Linked DNA regions of Callithrix jacchus. The protein of the gene in region 4 purifies or fractionates together with the protein of the main gene of each other region. This does not show direct contact. Links are inferred from orthologs where the notes say so. Each region holds a gene or a part of one and is shown on either strand. Other genes may lie near its edges.

Region 1 (3,516 bases), on a different chromosome or scaffold from region 4:
GCCTGTAATCCCAGCAGTTTGGGAGGCCGAGGCAGGTGGATCACGAGGTCAAGAGATCGAGACCATCCTGTTCAACAAGGTGAAACCCCGTCTCTAGTAAAAATACAAAAAGTTAGCTGGGAATGGTGGCACGTGACTATAATCTCAGCTACTCAGGAGGCTGAGGCAGGAGAATTGCTTGAACCCAGGAGGCGGAGGTTGCCGTGAGCCAAGATCTCGCCATTGCACTCCAGCCTGGGTAACAAGAGCGAAACTCCATCAAAAAAAAAAAAAAAAAGAAAGCCCCTTGAGGTGGTGGCTCACACCTGTAATCCCAGCACTTTGGGAGGCCGAGATGGGTGGATCACAAAGCCAGGAGTTCAAGATCAGCCTGGCCAAGATGGTGAAACCCCATCTCTAATAAATAAAATAATCAATCAATCACATCTGCTACAAATACTGCAGACCTCACCTCTTCCCCTGGCTATCTTGCCCACATTAGTTTCAAGGCCTCTCACAATAGTTTCAAGGCCTCCCCTTATCACCTCCCTCCTCCACCACCCTGCAGTTAACAAGTGTGTGCACCTAATAACCTGTGGAAACCAGAACTTGGGGCCAGTGGTCCCCATGCTTGTGTTGGTCCCCTGAACCCATGCTGTAAAATTCTACTCTTCTGTCTTTGTCTTTATTTCCTTTTCTCAATCCTTTGTCACCGCCAAGACTAAGGGCACCCATGAATGGGGTCGGGGCTGGTACCCAACAAATTTACCCTTCTATTACAGGAGGTTGAGCATGTACCTGGATGTGAAAAGAGTGCTCTCTCACCTTATGTGTTGCATTATTTCAGCCATTCAGACATTCTTGAATAGTAAAGGCACAGCCAAAGGTCTCTCCTGTCATCTCAGGCCTTGCCTAACACCCAGCGTTGTGTCTTTTCTTTCCTACCAACTCAGAATGCAGATTTGTCTCCATGTTTCCACATTGCAGCAGAAAATTTACTTAGTGTGGTATCTCCCTTTCTTGTCTGTGTACCTGGTGGAATGTTATTTAAAATTTTATATCTTCTCTCCTGTCTGTCTGCTTTCTTACCTAGTACAGTGTTATTTATAATCAAATACTTATAAGCTATGTTATTTTTGACTTGACATTTTGAATTTTGCCACTTGGTTCAGTTCTAGTATCTGGTTGTTGGTTTTTGTTTTTTTTTTCCTAACGGAGACAAGGTCTCACTGCCTAGGCTGGAGTGCAGTGGTATGATCTCTGCTTACTACAAGCTCTGCCTCTCGGGCTCAAGGAATCCTCCCACCTCAGTTTTCCAAGTAGCTGGGACTGCAGGTGTGCACCACCATACTCCGAAATTTTGCTTTTGTTGCTCAGGCTGGAGTGCAATGGTCTTGGCTTGTCTCAACCTCTACCTCCCGGGTTCAAGTGATTTTCCTGGTTCAGCCTCCCGAGTAGCTGGGATTACAGGCATGCGCCATGATGCCTGGCTAGTTTTGTATTTTTTACCAGAGATGAGGTTTCTCCATGCTGGTCAGGCTGGTCTCAAACTCCTGGCCTCAGGTGATCCGTCTGCCTCGGCCTCCCAAAGTGCTGGAATTAAAGGTGTGCACTGCACCCAGCCCACACTCAGCTAATTATTAAGGATTGCTTTGTAGAGATAGGGTCTCAAATTTCCGATTTTGACAAATTTCAACCTAAAATAAATTAAATATACTTTAATTTGAGCTTGATGCTCTTAAAAGTAAATATTCTTGTGTTTTACTGTTTTAGACTGTCATTTGAATGTACTATGGTTAGTGTCACTTAAGTGTGTAGTAGCATTAACCTTGAGCTCTTGTGGTTGTTTTTCCCATTACAGGTAGAGTTGGCTTTGTGGGACACAGCTGGACAGGAAGATTATGATCGCCTGAGACCCCTCTCCTACCCAGACACCGATGTTATTCTGATGTGTTTTTCCATCGACAGTCCTGATAGTTTAGGTGAGTGGTCCTGCGCCCAGTGTTTGTCACTGCAAGATGTATCCACCTAGGCTGGGCGAGGCAGGTGGGTCACCTGAGGTCAGGAGTTGGAGACCTGCCTGGTCAGCATGGCGAAACCCTGTCTCTACAAATACAAAAATTAGCCGGGTGTGGTGACATGCACCTGTAATCCCAGCTACTTGGGAGGGTGAGGCAGGAGAATCCGGGAGGCAGAGGTTGCAGTGATTTGGAATCGAGTCATTGCACTCCAGTCTGGGAGACAAGAAAATCTCTGTCTCAAAAAAGAAAGAAAGAAAATGTATCTAACTTGTTGGGGGATAGTTGCATGTGCCTGTAATCCCAGCTACCCAGGAAGCTGAGGTAGGAGAATTGCTTGAGCTCAGGAGTTTGTGTTTAGCCTGGGACTAGTGACCCCTGGCTCTAAAAAATTAATTAGGTTCAGGTGCTGTAACTCTTGCTTCTAATCCCAGAACTCTGAGAGGCCAAGGTGGGAGGATCACTTGAAGCCAAGAGTTTCAGATCAGCCTCAGCAACCTAGCAAGACTCCTTCTCTATTAAAATTAAAGGTTTTGTTGGAAGGCCGAGGCGGGTGGATCATGAGGTCAAGAGATTGAGACCATCCTGGTCAACATGGTGAAACCCCGTCTCTACTAAAAGTACAAAAAATTAGCTGGGCATGGTGGTGCATGCCTGTAATCCCAGGTACTCAGGAGTCTGAGGCAGGAGAATTGCCTGAACCCAGGAGGCGGAGGTTGTGGTGAGCCGAGATCGTGCCATTGCACTCCAGCCTGGGTAACAAGAGTGAAACTCCGTCTCAAAAAACAAAAATAAAAAATAAAGATTTCGGCCGGGCACAGTGGCTCATGCCTGTAATCCTAGCACTTTGGGAGTCTGAGGCAGATGGATCACCTGAGCTCAGGAGTTCAAGACCAGCCTGGGCAACATGGCGAAACCCTGGCTCTACAAAAATGCAAAAATTAGCTGGGCCTGATGGTGTGTGCACCTGAACTTCAAGCTACTTGGGAGGCTGAGGCCGGAGAATCATTTGAGACTGGGAGTCGGAGGGTGCAGTGAGCTGAGATCATGCCATTGCACTCTTGCCTGGGTGACAGAAGTGAAATTCTGTCTCAAAAGATAAAGATTTTATTTGAAAATAATTAATTTGGTCAGATGCAGTGGCTCACACCTGTAATCCCAGCATTTTGAGAGGCCAAGGCAGTTGGATCACCTGAAGCCAGGGGTTCAAGACCATCCTGGCCAACATGGTGAAACCCCGTCTCTACTAAAAATATAAAGATTAGCTGGACATGGCGGCATGTTCCTATAATCGAGCTACTTGGGAGGCTGAGGCATGAGAATTGCTTGAACTGGGAGGCAGAGGTTGCAATGAGCTGAGATTGCGCCCCTACACTCCAGCCTGGGCTACAGGCCAGGTGTGGCTAAAGGCTCTGTGCGGATGCTCATGCCTGTAATCCCAGCACTTTGGGACGCTGAGGTAGGCAGATCATTTGAGATCAGGAGTTTTGCCTTCACACAGGTTAACTTGGAAGACAGA
Region 2 (3,516 bases), on a different chromosome or scaffold from region 4:
GATGTCACCCTATGCTGCAGACAGCCGCCTTCTCCTGTCAGGTAAGCGTCTAAATCCCCCACAGGGCACAGCAAAGGCCGTACGTCTGTTTCACCACCAGCAGCTACACCAGTTTATGGTTTCAAAGACTCCAAGGAACATGCACTCATCAGGAGTCAACAGAGCATGGAGACAGGCCACCCCCATCAAAATCCTGCATGGTCACAGCCAAGATCTAAACACCTCTAATCCCCGTCCAGGTAAAGTATGCACACTGAGCAGCCCTTTGATCAGTGCCAGGTTATTTGATTCTGGGGACAGCCGTGCTCCTTATGTTGACTGGGATCATGATTATTGACAAGTAAAATATGAAGACCTTCATGTGGGAATGCAGTTAACCTGGGGCCGAGTTCCACAGCCCAAAAGGAAATCAAGCAGTAAGACCAAAGCAATCTGCGGCTATTTCTGGTCAGACTGGGCCCTGCTTTCTACAATGCCAGCTATCACAACAGCTCAGTAGAGATGTATGGACTGTGCTCACGAGGGTGGCTTACGTGACATGAACATTCCACAACATGCTTCATGAAACTGGTCAAACACCAGTGCCACTGGTTCACATGACTCAAAGCAGAGGAGGAGTATGTAAAATGAACTCATTCTGTAGCTGCTTAAATCCTAAGACACAGCTGGAAACCGACACGCTAGCCCCGTGACTAGAGCTACAGGAGTTATTTCAGCTGGGCTAGTGAAAGCGCCTGCCTGACCACATCAATCCTTGCATACTGTGTTTCAGTTTCAAGTACTCTTTTAAGACCGAGTTTTAATGTCCTAAAAGGCTAGAGACAGTGAGGAGATTTTAACAGCCTCTTCTCATCCCCTGAGTGCTATGGGAATAACAATCTAATCCTAACAAAAAGCCTGTTGTTCTCACCACACTTTATCAGAGTCCAGTGAATACACACTGGAAGATGAGATCAGCACCAAACACTCGACAGAAAAAGAAAGCACATGCTCCCCCCACGCCACAGAGGCCTGGAGTGTGAACCCTGGAAAGAAAGACGCCTCAGCACCTGCCACGCGCTCGTTGGCAGGACCGAGGTTAGCAGGCAGCACCACATTCTAATCGCCTCCTGGGACTCTCTGGTTCGTGATGTGATTCCAGGTTTGTCAGCTCAAGGGTTTTAAAGCCATCTTCTCAGAAGGTAAAACGCCTCCAAGAAACGAATGCACCACTCACTTCCCTAACAAAGACTTCTGCTTGGCAGAGGCTCACACATGGTAACCAGCTCTCCTCAAACCCAGTCTCAAACAGCCCTTTGTTTCACCTCACGAAACCTACCATCCACGAAGCTTATAGGCCTCTGGGATGTCAGGATTCACGATGATGGTGCTGGAAGACAACACAGAGAGGCTCCGTCCACCGAAATCTGAGACTCTGGCTCCTTTGATAGCCAGCACAGGCTGTCTGGAACCATCAAATTTATCAGCCTGTAAAACAAACACCAGACATACACACGTGTCACTCGCAGGAAGAACACAGAAGGTTTTTATAGAAAACAAGGCAAACAGTCAATAGTGAGTGAATGTAATCAATGTACATAGAATCTACACAAGACAGACTTCACACATAACGATCTTCTCAAAGACACATCAAACTAGCACTACTTTCCCAGAGTTAGGGGGAGGAGCATTTGCCTCCGTAAAGCTTGAATCACAGCAAATCTCACAGAAGATAAAGGATTTCAAATATTTGCCAGACAGCACGGCCCTTCCCATCTACACGGCCAAAGCCCCCAACTCATAGGACAAGACCACCTGCTCCCCCAGGAGCTCCTCCCGTGCGCGCTGACAGCTCCGCCCTCACTTACATCTTCCCCCCACAGTGTAGCAGTCACCACCTTCCCCGACGTGTCCATCAAGTAGATATTCCTCTTAGCAACCTCTCTGTTGTTAGACCTCACTGTGATTTTCGTGGCATCTTCATAGCTCTTGCAGATCCCAATTATGTCTGAAACACACCCACAACGTGTTAGCAGGAGACCGTCAGGGCTCCAGCTGAAGGGGATGGGAGGGTGAATGGCAGGCACTGGGGTCTGACACCGCCCCGGACACTGCACAGGAGCACCATCCCCCACGCTGCACAGGAACACCACTCCGGACACTACACAGAAGCACTGCCCTGGACACTGCACAGGAGCATCGCCCCCCACGCTGCACAGGAGCACCGACTCGGACACTGCACAGGAATACCACTCCCCACGCTGCACAGGAATACCGCCCTGGACACTGCACAGAATACCACTCATCACTGCTGTTCCTTCCCATACACCAACTTACCGACAAGTGAGTCTTTAGACTTGCTCTCTAGGTTATCAATCCCTGTGAAATCAAACTGAACGGTAGGCAAGTGATGATCATCTTCACAGGGCATGACGGAAGTCTCATTATTGAAGGTCATCTCATAGTCATTTTTAACAGCTGTGAATTGTTTGTTAGCAATCTTCAGGGTGCCCTTTGAGAAATAATACACCTGCAAAGGAGGCCAAGCCACAGAACTTCAGACTGTCATCAAATTGGACAAGAAACCCTGGTCTGCCACCACACAACCCTCCACTGGACCACAGTCCTCTCATCCTCAGTGAGTGTCGGCCCCAAAGCCGACACTACTATACCTTGTTCACTTCAATGAGGGGAAAGAACTTGTCCACTTGCTCATTGAAAGCCGTAGCTCTGATTTCAGCCTGTGGAAGCACGTGAGAGCAGTTAGGACTGTGGGATTCAACTTCAAGCCTGACCAGTGAAACATAGGCCACCTCAGCATCAAAATGGCATCTTCAGAGCAGTGAGACACAAAGGGGACCCAGAGAGGGCTCCAGACATCCCAGAAACCCGCATTTTATAGTCACACATTCAAGTCATTAGCCTGCTGAAAAAAGAATTTCAATTGCTGGTCCCATAGTCATGCTGCATTAACCTCAAGTGAGACACTGAGAACTGAACGAAAGGGTAGTGTCGAGTGGAGTATTCTGACGATAAAAACCAAACCACGCTGACCACTGAGTGACACAACTGGAGCCCACAGCAGGCTGCTGCTGGGATGACTCCCGCTTCCCCCAGTGCCTTCTCAGTGACAATCACTCCATGCTCGGGAGCCACTGCCACAAATGTCACAGTAAGTCATGTTTTCAAGTTGCCTGTGATCTGATTTTCACTTTTGCTTTTCTTTCAGCCAAAATGCTATAGGTGGACAAGAAACTTAAATGATTGAAACTGTAGCCAACCTTTAGAGCAGTAATGTGTTTAAAAAAAAGGTTCTAATATTGATTCTGCCACCACACAGTCAAACATTTTGGGTGTTATACCATCCTTCCTCCCACCCCCAAAAAATCTATTTTTTTCTCTGCCTTTGGGAGTTTGAACAAACAGGAAATATGTGGCAGTTTGATTTAGACATCATTATATTATTATTTCTATTTTTTTTGAGATGGAGTCTTGCTCTGTTGCCCAGGCTGGAGTGCAGTCATGCAATCTTAGCTT
Region 3 (4,209 bases), on a different chromosome or scaffold from region 4:
CCACAGTAGTTGGGAGCTGAGAAAAGTGTCACCAGCTGCCTCTTGGCAAAGAACTCATAGCCATCTTCTACCACCTGGGTGCAGACCAGAGCAGTCAGTTCTGCATGCTGGCACTGGCCTCCCTTTCTCCCACCCCAGGCCAGAGCTGCCAGCCCACCTGGTGCGCCCGGCAGATGAGGTCCAAGTCGTGCTTGTGCAGGAACTTGGCCACCACCTCGGCTCCGAAGGTAAAAGACACGCCACGGTCGTTCTCGCCCCAGCCTTGCACGTCCTTGTCAGGGTCAGACCACAGTAGGTCACACAGCAGGCCCTGGTCAGGCACGTCTGTGGGCCGCATGATACGCCGGATCTGCTCCATGGATTGCAGGTCTGGGGACAAGCCTGGGGGACCGGGGGAAGTCCACATCCTCAAACAAGGACATCCTCACTCCAGGAAGCTGTGGCCAATCAGCCTCACCTTTCCCACTGCCCCCTTGATTCCTCCACAGGTCACCTGGGCACCCAGGCGGCAGAAGTCATCCCCTTCCCCTCAGCTTTTGCAGGTTCCCAAAGAGGCACAAAGATGTCCCCGCCCTCAGGAGCGCAGAGCTCCCGGGAGATAGACAAGCCAAGCCTATTCCATGTAGGATGCACAAGGGAGTCAGCGCAGCCCGGCACAGGGGTATGGGAGACACTTCCCAGAAGGAGTGACTTCCCAGATGAGACAGACCTAAGGAGAGCTGGCCCGGCAATGGGGGATGCGGCCAGGTCTCCTTGTCCCCAGCCGTCCCCTCCCTCACCTCCGTGGCAGCAGAAGATCTTTTCATCCACGATGGCTGCGATGGGCAGGCAGTTAAAGCAGTCCGTGAAGGTTTTCCACAGTTTGATGTTGTAGCGTCTCTTGCCTGCCCAGGAGATGGCTGTGAGGGGCCCGCCTACCCCACCCTCCACCTGGGTCCCTGGGCTATTCAGACGCAGATGGGAGGAGAGAGGCTTGGAGGCAAACCACCCTGCACCCTGCCCCTGTCCCCACTCCTGCCCCTGCAGCCTATCAGCCTTCCAGGAACTATTCTCTTTACTTTTTATTTTAACTTTTAATTAAACAGTCTTGCTCTGTCACCCAGGGTCAGCTGGAGTGCAGTGGCGAGATCATAGCTCACTGTAACTTGGAGCTCCTGGGTCCAAGTGATCTTCCTGCCAGAAGTAATTCTAAAGCACCCAAGTCCAATGAAAACTGAGTTCCAATCTGGACCGGCCTCAGGGCTGGCACTCCCCAAACACCCCCACCCATAAGCTGGGCCAAGTACAGGTCTGGTTTATCTCAGCTTCTGGACAGCTGAGCCCATCTGCAAACACATCCTAAGTGCTTAGTAGCAGATGTAAGTGGAGCCTCACCAGGCAGGGCCCTGGGAGCAAGCACCAGAATACCAGCAGCCTTCCAGTCAGCAACCATGCCCCAGACCCCGTGCCAGGCAGGGCAGGGCAGGCACGAGAATGGAGCGGGCCCTGCCTTCGTGGAGCGCACAGTCTAGCAAGTGTCTGTCAGATACGAAGCCAATGTGAGGGTCCCACTGAATAGCAAGGAGCGTTTCGGGACCCGGGCAACCCTGGGTGCTCAGACCACTCACACTCATCGTAGAAACCATAGATGCGGTTGATGCTGGCACACTCGTGGTTCCCACGGAGCAGGAAGAAGTTCTCGGGGTACTTGATCTTGTAGGCCAGCAGCAGGCAGATGGTCTCCAAGGACTGCTTGCCCCTGTCCACATAGTCCCCCAGAAAGAGATAGTTGCTCTCCGGAGGGAAGCCCCCATACTCAAATAGTCGCAGAAGGTCGTAGTACTGGCCGTGGATGTCACCTGTGACCCATGGAACCGAGTAAGCTAGATGCTGGGTCTAGACTTGAACCCAGGGCCAGGACTAGGCTCAAGGGAGGAGGGCTCCAGGAACTTTGTGGGGGCCAGTGCCACTTTTAGGAAGCCAAAGGGGCCTGGGCGAGGCTGGGGGCTGCTCACCGCAGATCTTGAGGGGTGCCTCCAGCTCCAGGAGAATGGGCTGGCTCAGGAAAATCTCCCGGGATTTCAGGCACAGACCGCGGATCTCGTTCTCTGTCAGCTGTACATTCTTGCCAGGCCGCGAGCCCTGCACTGGGGGCGCAATGCGGAGTCAGGACCCTGGCCTCTCAGACAGGGGGAGGGTGGGCGACACGGTGGCCCCGTGGATACCTCCGGGGGCGCCTAGGCCTCCTCGGCCCCTCCTTGCCCAGAGGCAGCTGTTGCTGCTGAGCCTCCTGGGACGTCGGCCTCAAGCCTCCCAAGGGAAGCCCCCCTAGTTATCCTCAAAGGCTCGGGAGGCGACTGTCGTGCGCAGGGGGCTGCCGCCCAAAACCTCACAGCGCAAGACACCTCCCTGGACCGGGCTTCCCGGGTTTCTCCCTCGCCCCAAGAGCCGAGGCAACCCGTGAGCCCCCGGCCGGGGAGAGGGGGCTGCTCCGCGCCTCGAAGCCGGCCCCGGACCTCTCAGGCGCGTCCGCGGGGGGGGGCGGCTGCGGCCACGGAACCTCGCGGCGCGTCCCCGCCCAGTCTAAGCTGGCCCCGGGGGCCCGCCCGCGCGCCACTTCCGGGCTGGGCAGGGGTCCAGGGCGCGGCGGACGCGGACCTTCCCCACCCCGGCCAACCTTCCAGCAGGCGCCCGATGATCGAGTCCAGGTTGAGCTTCTCGCTGTCGGACATGGCGGCGCCGCCGCTCCAGTCCAGCAGCTCCGGGCCCGCTCCCGTCTCCCGCCCTCCGGCTGCCTCCTTCCGGCCTGGCTCTCCTTCCGCCCGCCCCAGTCCGCCCCCGGCCCGCCGCTCCGCCTCCGGGCCTCCCGGGCCCGCCCTGCCCGGCCCCCCGCGCTCTAGCGCCCCCGCTGGATGTGAGGCGCGGAGGCCCAGGGGGCGGGGCCTCGGCGGCGGGCTGGGGGCGGTGTCTGTCGGGGGCGGGGCCGAGGCTAGTTACGCCCGAGAGGAGGCGCCCAGCTCCGTTTCGAGGATGTGGGGCCGGAAGGAATGTGGAAGTTGTTTTTCTCTTTCAAAAGCTGAACAGCCCTTCCCACCCCTGCCCTGGGTGGAGGGTGTCGTGAACACGTTAATAACCGGCTGCCCCGCACTGAGGGTTAACTTCTCCAAATGCAGAAAGGGAAACTGAGGTTCAAGACATAGCGACAGGCTGGTTCAAGACCTGGACCTCGCTTGCACCGAGGACCCCCTTCCTCGTGGGTCTCCGTGGCCCCCAGGCGGCTGACCACACTCAAAGACAGCTAGAATTCCCAGCGCACTTTGGTCCTTGGGGCATGCTAAATTAATATTTTCTTATAAGTCCCATAATTAGCTTTTTTTTTTTGAGGCGGGTTTTGCTCTGTCCCACAGGCTGGAAGGCAGTGGCGCGACCTTGGTTTAATGCAACCTTCCCCTCTTGGGTTAAAGCGATGACAATGCCTCAGCCTCCAGAGTAACAGGGACTACAGGCGGATGTCACCGCGCCCGCTAATTTTTGTATTTTTATTAGACGGGGAGTTTCCATGCTAGCCAGGCTGGGATCACAGGCCTGAGCCATCACACCTGGCCCCATAATAAGCTTTGAGTAGCACAGTAATATTGCAGGGTGTGCACGTAAAAAGAATTATAAAGAGTAGACATTACATGAACCGTAATTACTGTTGGAACCCTGAGTTGGGTGCTTTACACACCAGTAACCTCAAAACTGGAGGTGGGCTGGCCATCGTGGCTCAGGCCTGTAATTCCAGCACTTTGGGAGGCTGAGGCATAATGATCTCTTGCGCCCAGCCTGGGCAACATGGCGAAACCTCGTCTCAACACAAAACACAAAAATTGGCCAGGCACCGTGGCTCACACCTGTAAGCCCAGCACTTTGGGAGGTTAAGGCAGGCAGATCACAAGGTCAGGAAATTGAGACCATCCTGGCTAACACAGTGAAACCCCGTCTCTACTAAAAATACAAAAAATTAGCTGGGCATGGTGGTACGTGCCTGTGGTTCCAGCTACTCAGGAGGCTGAGGCAGGAGAATCACTTGAACCAGGAGGCAGAGGTTGCAGTGAGCTGAGATGGCGCCACTGCACTCCAGCTTGGGTGACAGAGAGAGAGAACGTATCAAAAAAAAAAAAAAAAAAATTGTGCTCACTTCGGCAGAACATATACTAAAATTGGAACGATACAGAGAAGATTAGCATG
Region 4 (3,516 bases):
GTTATTAAGGCCTGAGAAGGAAATCGTTATTATATTCAAAGCTGACACTAACTATATGGAATAAAAACAGTTCTTAATGATGGAACAACTAGCGGGAATCAAATTTATTAGTTTCTGCTTCTAATATTGCCAGTCTTTGCCAGGCAGTGATACAATATTCGCTTCATTTCATTTCCATTAGTTAGTATCCAAGAGCAAGGCTGTTTTTTTCCGGAAAATGTTTATTAAAAATGAATCAGCACAAAAATGTTAGTTTTAGTATTTCCGTTTCATTCCTGAGACAGTTAAAATGGCTTCAGGCTTACACACTAGAAGAATATTAGAGACTATGAATATGCTAATAAATACAGATGTACATGAAACAAAATGATTTTAAGACACCCCAATAGAGTATTAAGAAGTTTTAAAAGCTATTTTGGAATAGGTTTAGGGCAAAGATCTCAAACTCCAATGCCCACAGCAGCTATCCAGGTAATATCAATGGGTAAAATGGGCCAGGGGACTATCCAGGGGGATGGAACGCAAGCAGCTGCTACTACATAGCTCCAGCTAATTGCTGATAGGTGAGAATTCAGATCCAGTGTTGCCGGATCTGCCTACTTTTCAAGAAATGCCAAAAATATGAAGTTTGAAGTGAGTATGTCTAGTTTTAAATGTTGGTTACAAATTTTCACAAACACTATGCAGGCCTTACTCCTAACAGTTTTAAAATATATAAAGCCTATAATTAAAAATAATTTTATTTAGTATTTATCTCTGATTTAAAGTAGGAATTACTCAGAATTTAAATAGAAAGTTTATATAAAATAGGAAATGGTAATAATGAGTATCAATATGCCAATATATAGTTGAGAAAGAAATGTATTTTTCAAGAAATAAGCATAAAAAATGTGTTTGGTGAGATCGTTACATGTATTAAGTAATTTTAGTTTACAACAATTTCACAAAAAACATTTAAATGGTATGCTCTCCACAGTAGGCAAGAAATAGCTTAAAGCATCTGAGAAGTACTACATTAATGAACTGCTTCTAGAAATAGTCACCCACCAGTTCAATATTAACTTTTCTTTATAGGTGGACATGAAGACTTTTGTGAAGCATTGGGTTATAAAAATATTAAAATCAACTGTAGGTCATACTATTTTCTATATCTGTTTTCTACTTTTCTCATTCTCGACCTTCATATTCTTTCTGTTTAGGTTCAATGAATCACAAGTTAGGATGTTGTTCCTTTTTATTCAAATTATTATTTAGGAAACCCTAATTCAAAGAATTATATTATACAAAGAAAGCAAAGTGTTTTCAAAATTTAGTATTCTTACCTCTTTCATTTTCTTTTGTTATTCCTCTGGAGTAAGCAGACGTTATACCTACAAGACTATTTGGCCTGTTTAGTTGACTTGAAGCATAGAGTGAACTGCTTATAGTAGAAAGTGAAGAGGATGGAGTGGTTGAACTTGAAGTTGATACTGGCCTATAACGCTGATAAGTCTGTGAAACATTAAGATCAAAATCCATTTGAAACATTAAATACAAAAACATATAAAGTATTTAAAAATTCGTTTCAAAGAAAAAGTAGTGTTCTAATCATGCCAAAGTAATTCAGATTTCCAGCTAAAATTCTCTGAAGTATTTTGTATATGGTTTGTTGGTATATAAATCTCTTGCATGCTGAGGATGTAAGAACTGTTCATATCATTTGATATACTGTTACCTCATCATATGTTCTGGAGTACTTTTGTTTATATTCATCTTCTCTAGATGTTTCTGACTCCTTCTTTTCTTCTTGTTTCTCTTTATCTTGTTTTTCTTTTTCCTCTTTTTCTTTTTCTTCATTTTCTTGTTCTCTGGTTCGAGTAGAACGACTTCTTCCTATAGTTTTCTCAGCTTCTTGAAGATCAGTTAATGTCACTCCCTGTACACACAAAAAGATCATATAATTATGAGATGCATTAAATCTTGTTTCAAAGGAATATTTTAGTAATGGATATATTATATACAAATGCATTAAAAGACAAATATGCATGTTTAGAATTGGTTTGCAAATGGAAACAGCAAGTTACATTCATTCTATGAAGAATCACCATTAGCAAGCACAATGATAGGTACTGGGGAAGATATAAATGTAGATAAGAAATCACCTCTGTATTCAGAAATTGACAAAATGGTAAAAGATATGACAAATACTTTATGCATATAAGTGTTCCCCACAAGTTCAGAGTAGGGAAGAATAGCCAACATATATACTGTTTGTATATTACATTATAAATATTTATGTCTATGTGTGTGTGTGTGTGCGTGTGCACATAAACACATACATGCATGATAACTGTTAAGGCTTAAAAGAGAGTTCAATAAATTTTTCAAGATTTGACCTTAAAGAACAGGTCAGATTTCAAGAAGTGAAAAGTATAAAGACAAAAAAAGTATATTAAGGCCCTAGCAAATAGTTCAGCTTGTAAGCTAAGTAATGGTAAGGATAAGACAGCTGAATCTGGACTGTGGAAAAGAGACACAAAAGTATACATCATATTTAGCATAATTAGAATGGCAAAGAGGAGGTAAGGAGATCACCAGCCTGAATGGCATTTTTTTTCATACTTGAACATTAGCTGTTTAATATACCTAATATAAGAGACTATTCTCTGCCCCCCACCTTCCAAATACTCAGTTATTAGACATCATATATGATTAATTCATTCTAACACCAATACTCTGTGCTGTATTAGAAATAAGGATTTAAAAAAACTCAAAAAGACACAAACAAGTATGCTAATTAGATGAAATATAATAGTAACAGTGAAACCATACAAAAGACTGTGGGAGAATTACTAGAGCGATCCTTACCTTTTAAGGATTTACTCATACTATATACTGACATCAATATTTTCACAACAAAGTGAAAAAGAGAAAGGTAATTTGTTTTACAAGTGTGTGTGTGTGTATACATGTATGTATATATATATATATATATATATATATATATATATGTTTTACATGCTACTTATGTAAGTTGTATATATTAATTATATTAACGATACCTGTGTTGATCTTCTAGATTGTCTTGCTTGTCTAGATCTTGCTTTTCTTTGGGATTCAGACTCTTCATCCCTAACAGGAGTGAGGTATGATCTACAATAATAAATAAAAAAATCATTAGTTGTAAATATAATACCTGTGAATGTAAGTATCTTATCAATGTATATGAACAAAGCGCACAAGTTTAGTATTTTAGTAAGTTTTAAGAAAAAGTCTTCAGAAAATGGTCTTTGAAACTCAATAATGCAATCTAATAATTTCTTTTTAGATTGGAACTATATTTTAATTATACTTTAATATCACATTTTAACTTCCTAACTACATTTAAAAAAATCATGTAATTTAAGATGAAACTACATTTTAAAAAAGGATTTAGGGAACTGAAAATTAAAAGTTTCAGCTCTACTGAAAGAAACAGAAGGATTTCATCTTGCCCAATTAAACAGAATGTATAAGGGATAAATTTTTTGTTTGTCT
Region 5 (3,516 bases), on a different chromosome or scaffold from region 4:
ATCTCAATTTTTGTGGGTCAGCTTAGTGGGTCCTCTGGCTCTGGGTCTCTCACAAGGCTCCAATTAAGTGTGATCTCGGGCTGCAGTCATCTGAAGGTTGAACTATGAAAGGATTCAGTTCCTTATAGACTGATGGACTAAAAGCCTCAGCTTCAAATGAGCTGTTGGCCAGAGGCCTCCCTCAGTTCTTTGCTACATGGGATGCTTCTTCATTAGATAGCTGGTTTCATCAGCAAGTATGAAGAAGGTGAGAGTGCAAACAAGATGAAAGTCACAGTCTTTTGTAACTTAATCTTGGAAGTGACAGCCCATCTCACTTTTGCTTGTTAGAAGTAAGTTACTAAATATAGCCCATACTCAAGGGCAGGGGAAGATTACACAGGATGTAAACGTTGGGAATCATTTCAAAGAAACTGCTTATAACAGTAACCAATTTTTGTAAAACTGACTTTTTCTCTTTTTAGGAGATATTCATGGACAGTATACAGATTTACTGAGATTATTCGAATATGGAGGTTTCCCACCAGAAGCCAACTACCTTTTCTTAGGAGATTATGTGGACAGAGGAAAGCAGTCTTTGGAAACCATTTGTTTGCTATTGGCTTATAAAATAAAATATCCAGAGAACTTCTTTCTCTTAAGAGGAAACCATGAGTGTGCTAGCATCAATCGCATTTATGGATTCTATGATGAATGTAAGTGAAAATAAAGACTTAGAAAAGTAATTCATGGAAGGATTGCCAAATAATTTTCTGGTTCAGAAGAGTTCCTTTGATTCAGAGTTTTTTCAAAATAAGATCTATCAGGCATACGCCAGGAAGAGGAACCTGAAACTGGGAAACGTCACTAATTAAATTGGTTCCTTCAGATATCCTTGGTCATGTTCCAGATTGACTGCAGCTTACCTGGCTGAAGAGGTTCTTTTAAAATTAGTTTATCTAGTAAACCATCCAGGCAAAACAGAAGTCTGTGGCTTCTGGTTTTCTATTGTCCATTAAGGTTTTAGCTCTCAGCATTCTTGTGGTATGACAAAAGCTCTTATTAGTCCTGTGTCACAAGAGTTATTGAGAAGTTCTATGAAACTATTTAAAAGTCAAAGTTTAATATTATTAGAATTTAAATCTGTGTCTATAAACCTTGAAAGACAAAGATACTGAATACTCTGGGGTATCCTTAGTTTTATTCTCTTTTTCATTAGTAGCAAATCACTGATTTCGTTTTGTGCAGTAATGTTTCCAAGTATTATTATTAAAATACCCTACTAGATTCAAATGTGGTCTTTTGGTTTTATTAGATAAGAGTGCAAAAGTATATGTTTGGTTAATTACAACTTAGAATCAGTTGTGATTTTCAAATTGATTTCTTTTCATTGCTGTTTTCCCTATTAGAATCTACTTTTGCTCTTTTTTTAATCCTTAATTTTGTTAGAGACTTATTCAAAGTCGTCTTCTCGATTTATATAATGATTTGACAAAGTTTGAGGGTATATGTGCCAGGCACTATTGTGAACACTGTGCATGAAGCACTACACAATACAGATGATCTCTGTTCTCATGGAGCTTACATTCTAATAGGAATGATTCTGCATTTGATTTTATATTATATTTTTATTTCTGAGATGTGCTGTGTGGTTTGAATTACTTAAATCAGACTAGAAGAGAGAAAGTGGGTTTGAGTACATCAAACTACAACATTCTTCCTAAAGCTACATCAGAGATGGAGGTATATTTTTAAAGGATAAAAGATAGGCAGGAATGTCCTTGGGGATAGAAATGACATCAAATAAAATAATGTATAGGAGAGCAACTTGTAAACAATACTTTGAGTTATATACTTATAAAGGAGCAGGCTGTGGCATAAAAGCACAGGAAGTTAGTACTTACGTCTTTCATCTCTTCCCTAGGTTAGCAGTTGTACCTTATTACCAAATTCAGGAAAATCAAATGACTCTAAAAAGGTGAACATACACTTGAGGTTGTCTTTGTTGTAGCTTTTTATACTAGGCTATAGGAAAATTATAGCCTTTGTGCCTTGGCACCATACTTGCTATAGTGCCAAGTTGTAATTCACACAAAGGAGAATACCAGTTAAACACTTGGAAATTTTCCTTCATTGGCAATAAGTTTATACTGTGTTTCTCAATACACTGTTAAATGGACAGTTTCCAGAGGCAACCTTTCCCTTTTGCTTGCTTGTTTGGCTAGTTCACACATTGGAGAGGAAAAAATGAACTATGAGGCCTATTAGACTGTTTAAAAATTGCTATATTATAGGCTGGGCGCGGTGGCTCAAGCCTGTAATCCCAGCACTTTGGGAGGCCGAGGCGGGTGGATCACGAGGTCAAGAGATCGAGACCATCCTGGTCAACATGGTGAAACCCCATCTCTACTAAAAATACGAAAAATTAGCTGGGCATGGTGGTGCGTGCCTGTAATCCCAGCTACTCAGGAGGCTGAGGCAGGAGAATTGCCTGAACCTAGGAGGCAGAGGTTGCGGTGAGCCGAGATCGTGCCATTGCACTCCAGCCTGGGTAACAAGAGCGAAACTCCATCTCAAAAAAAATTGTTATATTATAATGATCTTAACAGGCAGACTGTTTGATGAATTTCATAAAACCCTTAGCACAATCTGTGGGTTTTTTAAAGTGTTAGATTTGATTAGGTTTATTTAAGTTGTCAGAAATTGTATGTATTTGTGATGGACAACATGATGTTTTGAACATCATGAGAGGATCTTATCTTCCTGCCTATAACCATTGCAGAATGGTTAAATCTAGCTGATTTAACATATGCATTATCTCAAAAGGTTAACACTTATAATTTAGTATTTTGCAAAGATACAATATAGTGTTTTGACTATAGTCACTATGTTGTACAATAGATCTTATGTATTTATTCCTCCTACCCAACTGATACTTTGTATTCTTTGACCAACATCTTCCCATCCCACCCTTACCCCAGCATAATCTTTGAAGTCTTGGTAACTTTACTGAAGGTATTGAATATTTACTATATTTGTTGCCTTTTAAAAAGTATGTAAATAACATTTATGCATTATAGAAAAAGTTCTGTATAGATAAACATGAAGAAAGAAATGAAATCATTCATAATGCTATGGCTTTGAGATAACAGATGAGAACAGTTTTAGATTTTTTAATTTATTCTAACTATTCTTTTTATAGGCAAACGAAGATTTAATATTAAATTGTGGAAGACCTTCACTGATTGTTTTAACTGTCTGCCTATAGCAGCCATTGTGGATGAGAAGATCTTCTGTTGTCATGGAGGTAGACTAGCAAATTTGCCTTACAGATTTTCTTATTTTATTATTCAGAAAATACCTACAATAATTAGACTGTGGGAAAACAAAGCAGTGCTTGTGTGAAAGCTCAAGTGATTTAAAACTGTTTTAAACATGGCTAAAACCTCTTTTAATAATTACAGATTTATTTATAAATGAAAATGTAATGCTTTAAATATAGTTTCACATATGAAGAGGATAACTGGAGTTGTTGAA

What was found.
Region 1: the proteins of PPP1R12A (region 4) and RHOA fractionate together in Homo sapiens (co-fractionation; 3 studies listed by BioGRID and IntAct, with this or other methods). This does not show direct contact. The link is inferred for Callithrix jacchus from reciprocal best matches to the Homo sapiens genes PPP1R12A and RHOA.
Region 2: the proteins of PPP1R12A (region 4) and RPA1 fractionate together in Homo sapiens (co-fractionation; 3 studies listed by BioGRID, with this or other methods). This does not show direct contact. The link is inferred for Callithrix jacchus from reciprocal best matches to the Homo sapiens genes PPP1R12A and RPA1.
Region 3: the proteins of PPP1R12A (region 4) and PPP1CA purify together in Homo sapiens (affinity purification with mass spectrometry; 3 studies listed by BioGRID and IntAct, with this or other methods). This does not show direct contact. The link is inferred for Callithrix jacchus from reciprocal best matches to the Homo sapiens genes PPP1R12A and PPP1CA.
Region 5: the proteins of PPP1R12A (region 4) and PPP1CB purify together in Homo sapiens (affinity purification with mass spectrometry; 6 studies listed by BioGRID and IntAct, with this or other methods). This does not show direct contact. The link is inferred for Callithrix jacchus from reciprocal best matches to the Homo sapiens genes PPP1R12A and PPP1CB.

What each region holds. Positions count from the first base shown.
Region 1 is NC_133516.1:31,971,353-31,974,868, reverse strand, and holds part of RHOA (transforming protein RhoA), read left to right. Parts: intron 1-1,840; coding exon 1,841-1,961; intron 1,962-3,516. UniProt on the Homo sapiens protein: Small GTPase which cycles between an active GTP-bound and an inactive GDP-bound state.
Region 2 is NC_133506.1:66,377,737-66,381,252, forward strand, and holds part of RPA1 (replication protein A 70 kDa DNA-binding subunit), read right to left. Parts: intron 2,721-3,516; coding exon 2,652-2,720; intron 2,510-2,651; coding exon 2,317-2,509; intron 1,988-2,316; coding exon 1,848-1,987; intron 1,468-1,847; coding exon 1,319-1,467; intron 1-1,318. UniProt on the Homo sapiens protein: As part of the heterotrimeric replication protein A complex (RPA/RP-A), binds and stabilizes single-stranded DNA intermediates that form during DNA replication or upon DNA stress.
Region 3 is NC_133511.1:124,477,347-124,481,555, forward strand, and holds the start of PPP1CA (serine/threonine-protein phosphatase PP1-alpha catalytic subunit), read right to left. Parts: upstream 2,809-4,209; 5' UTR 2,712-2,808; coding exon 2,657-2,711; intron 2,127-2,656; coding exon 1,995-2,126; intron 1,839-1,994; coding exon 1,608-1,838; intron 885-1,607; coding exon 780-884; intron 382-779; coding exon 158-381; intron 75-157; coding exon 1-74. UniProt on the Homo sapiens protein: Protein phosphatase that associates with over 200 regulatory proteins to form highly specific holoenzymes which dephosphorylate hundreds of biological targets.
Region 4 is NC_133510.1:82,498,313-82,501,828, forward strand, and holds part of PPP1R12A (protein phosphatase 1 regulatory subunit 12A), read right to left. Parts: intron 3,133-3,516; coding exon 3,042-3,132; intron 1,916-3,041; coding exon 1,715-1,915; intron 1,492-1,714; coding exon 1,323-1,491; intron 1-1,322. UniProt on the Homo sapiens protein: Key regulator of protein phosphatase 1C (PPP1C). Mediates binding to myosin. As part of the PPP1C complex, involved in dephosphorylation of PLK1. Capable of inhibiting HIF1AN-dependent suppression of HIF1A activity.
Region 5 is NC_133515.1:86,265,300-86,268,815, reverse strand, and holds part of PPP1CB (serine/threonine-protein phosphatase PP1-beta catalytic subunit), read left to right. Parts: intron 1-464; coding exon 465-695; intron 696-3,181; coding exon 3,182-3,286; intron 3,287-3,516. UniProt on the Homo sapiens protein: Protein phosphatase that associates with over 200 regulatory proteins to form highly specific holoenzymes which dephosphorylate hundreds of biological targets.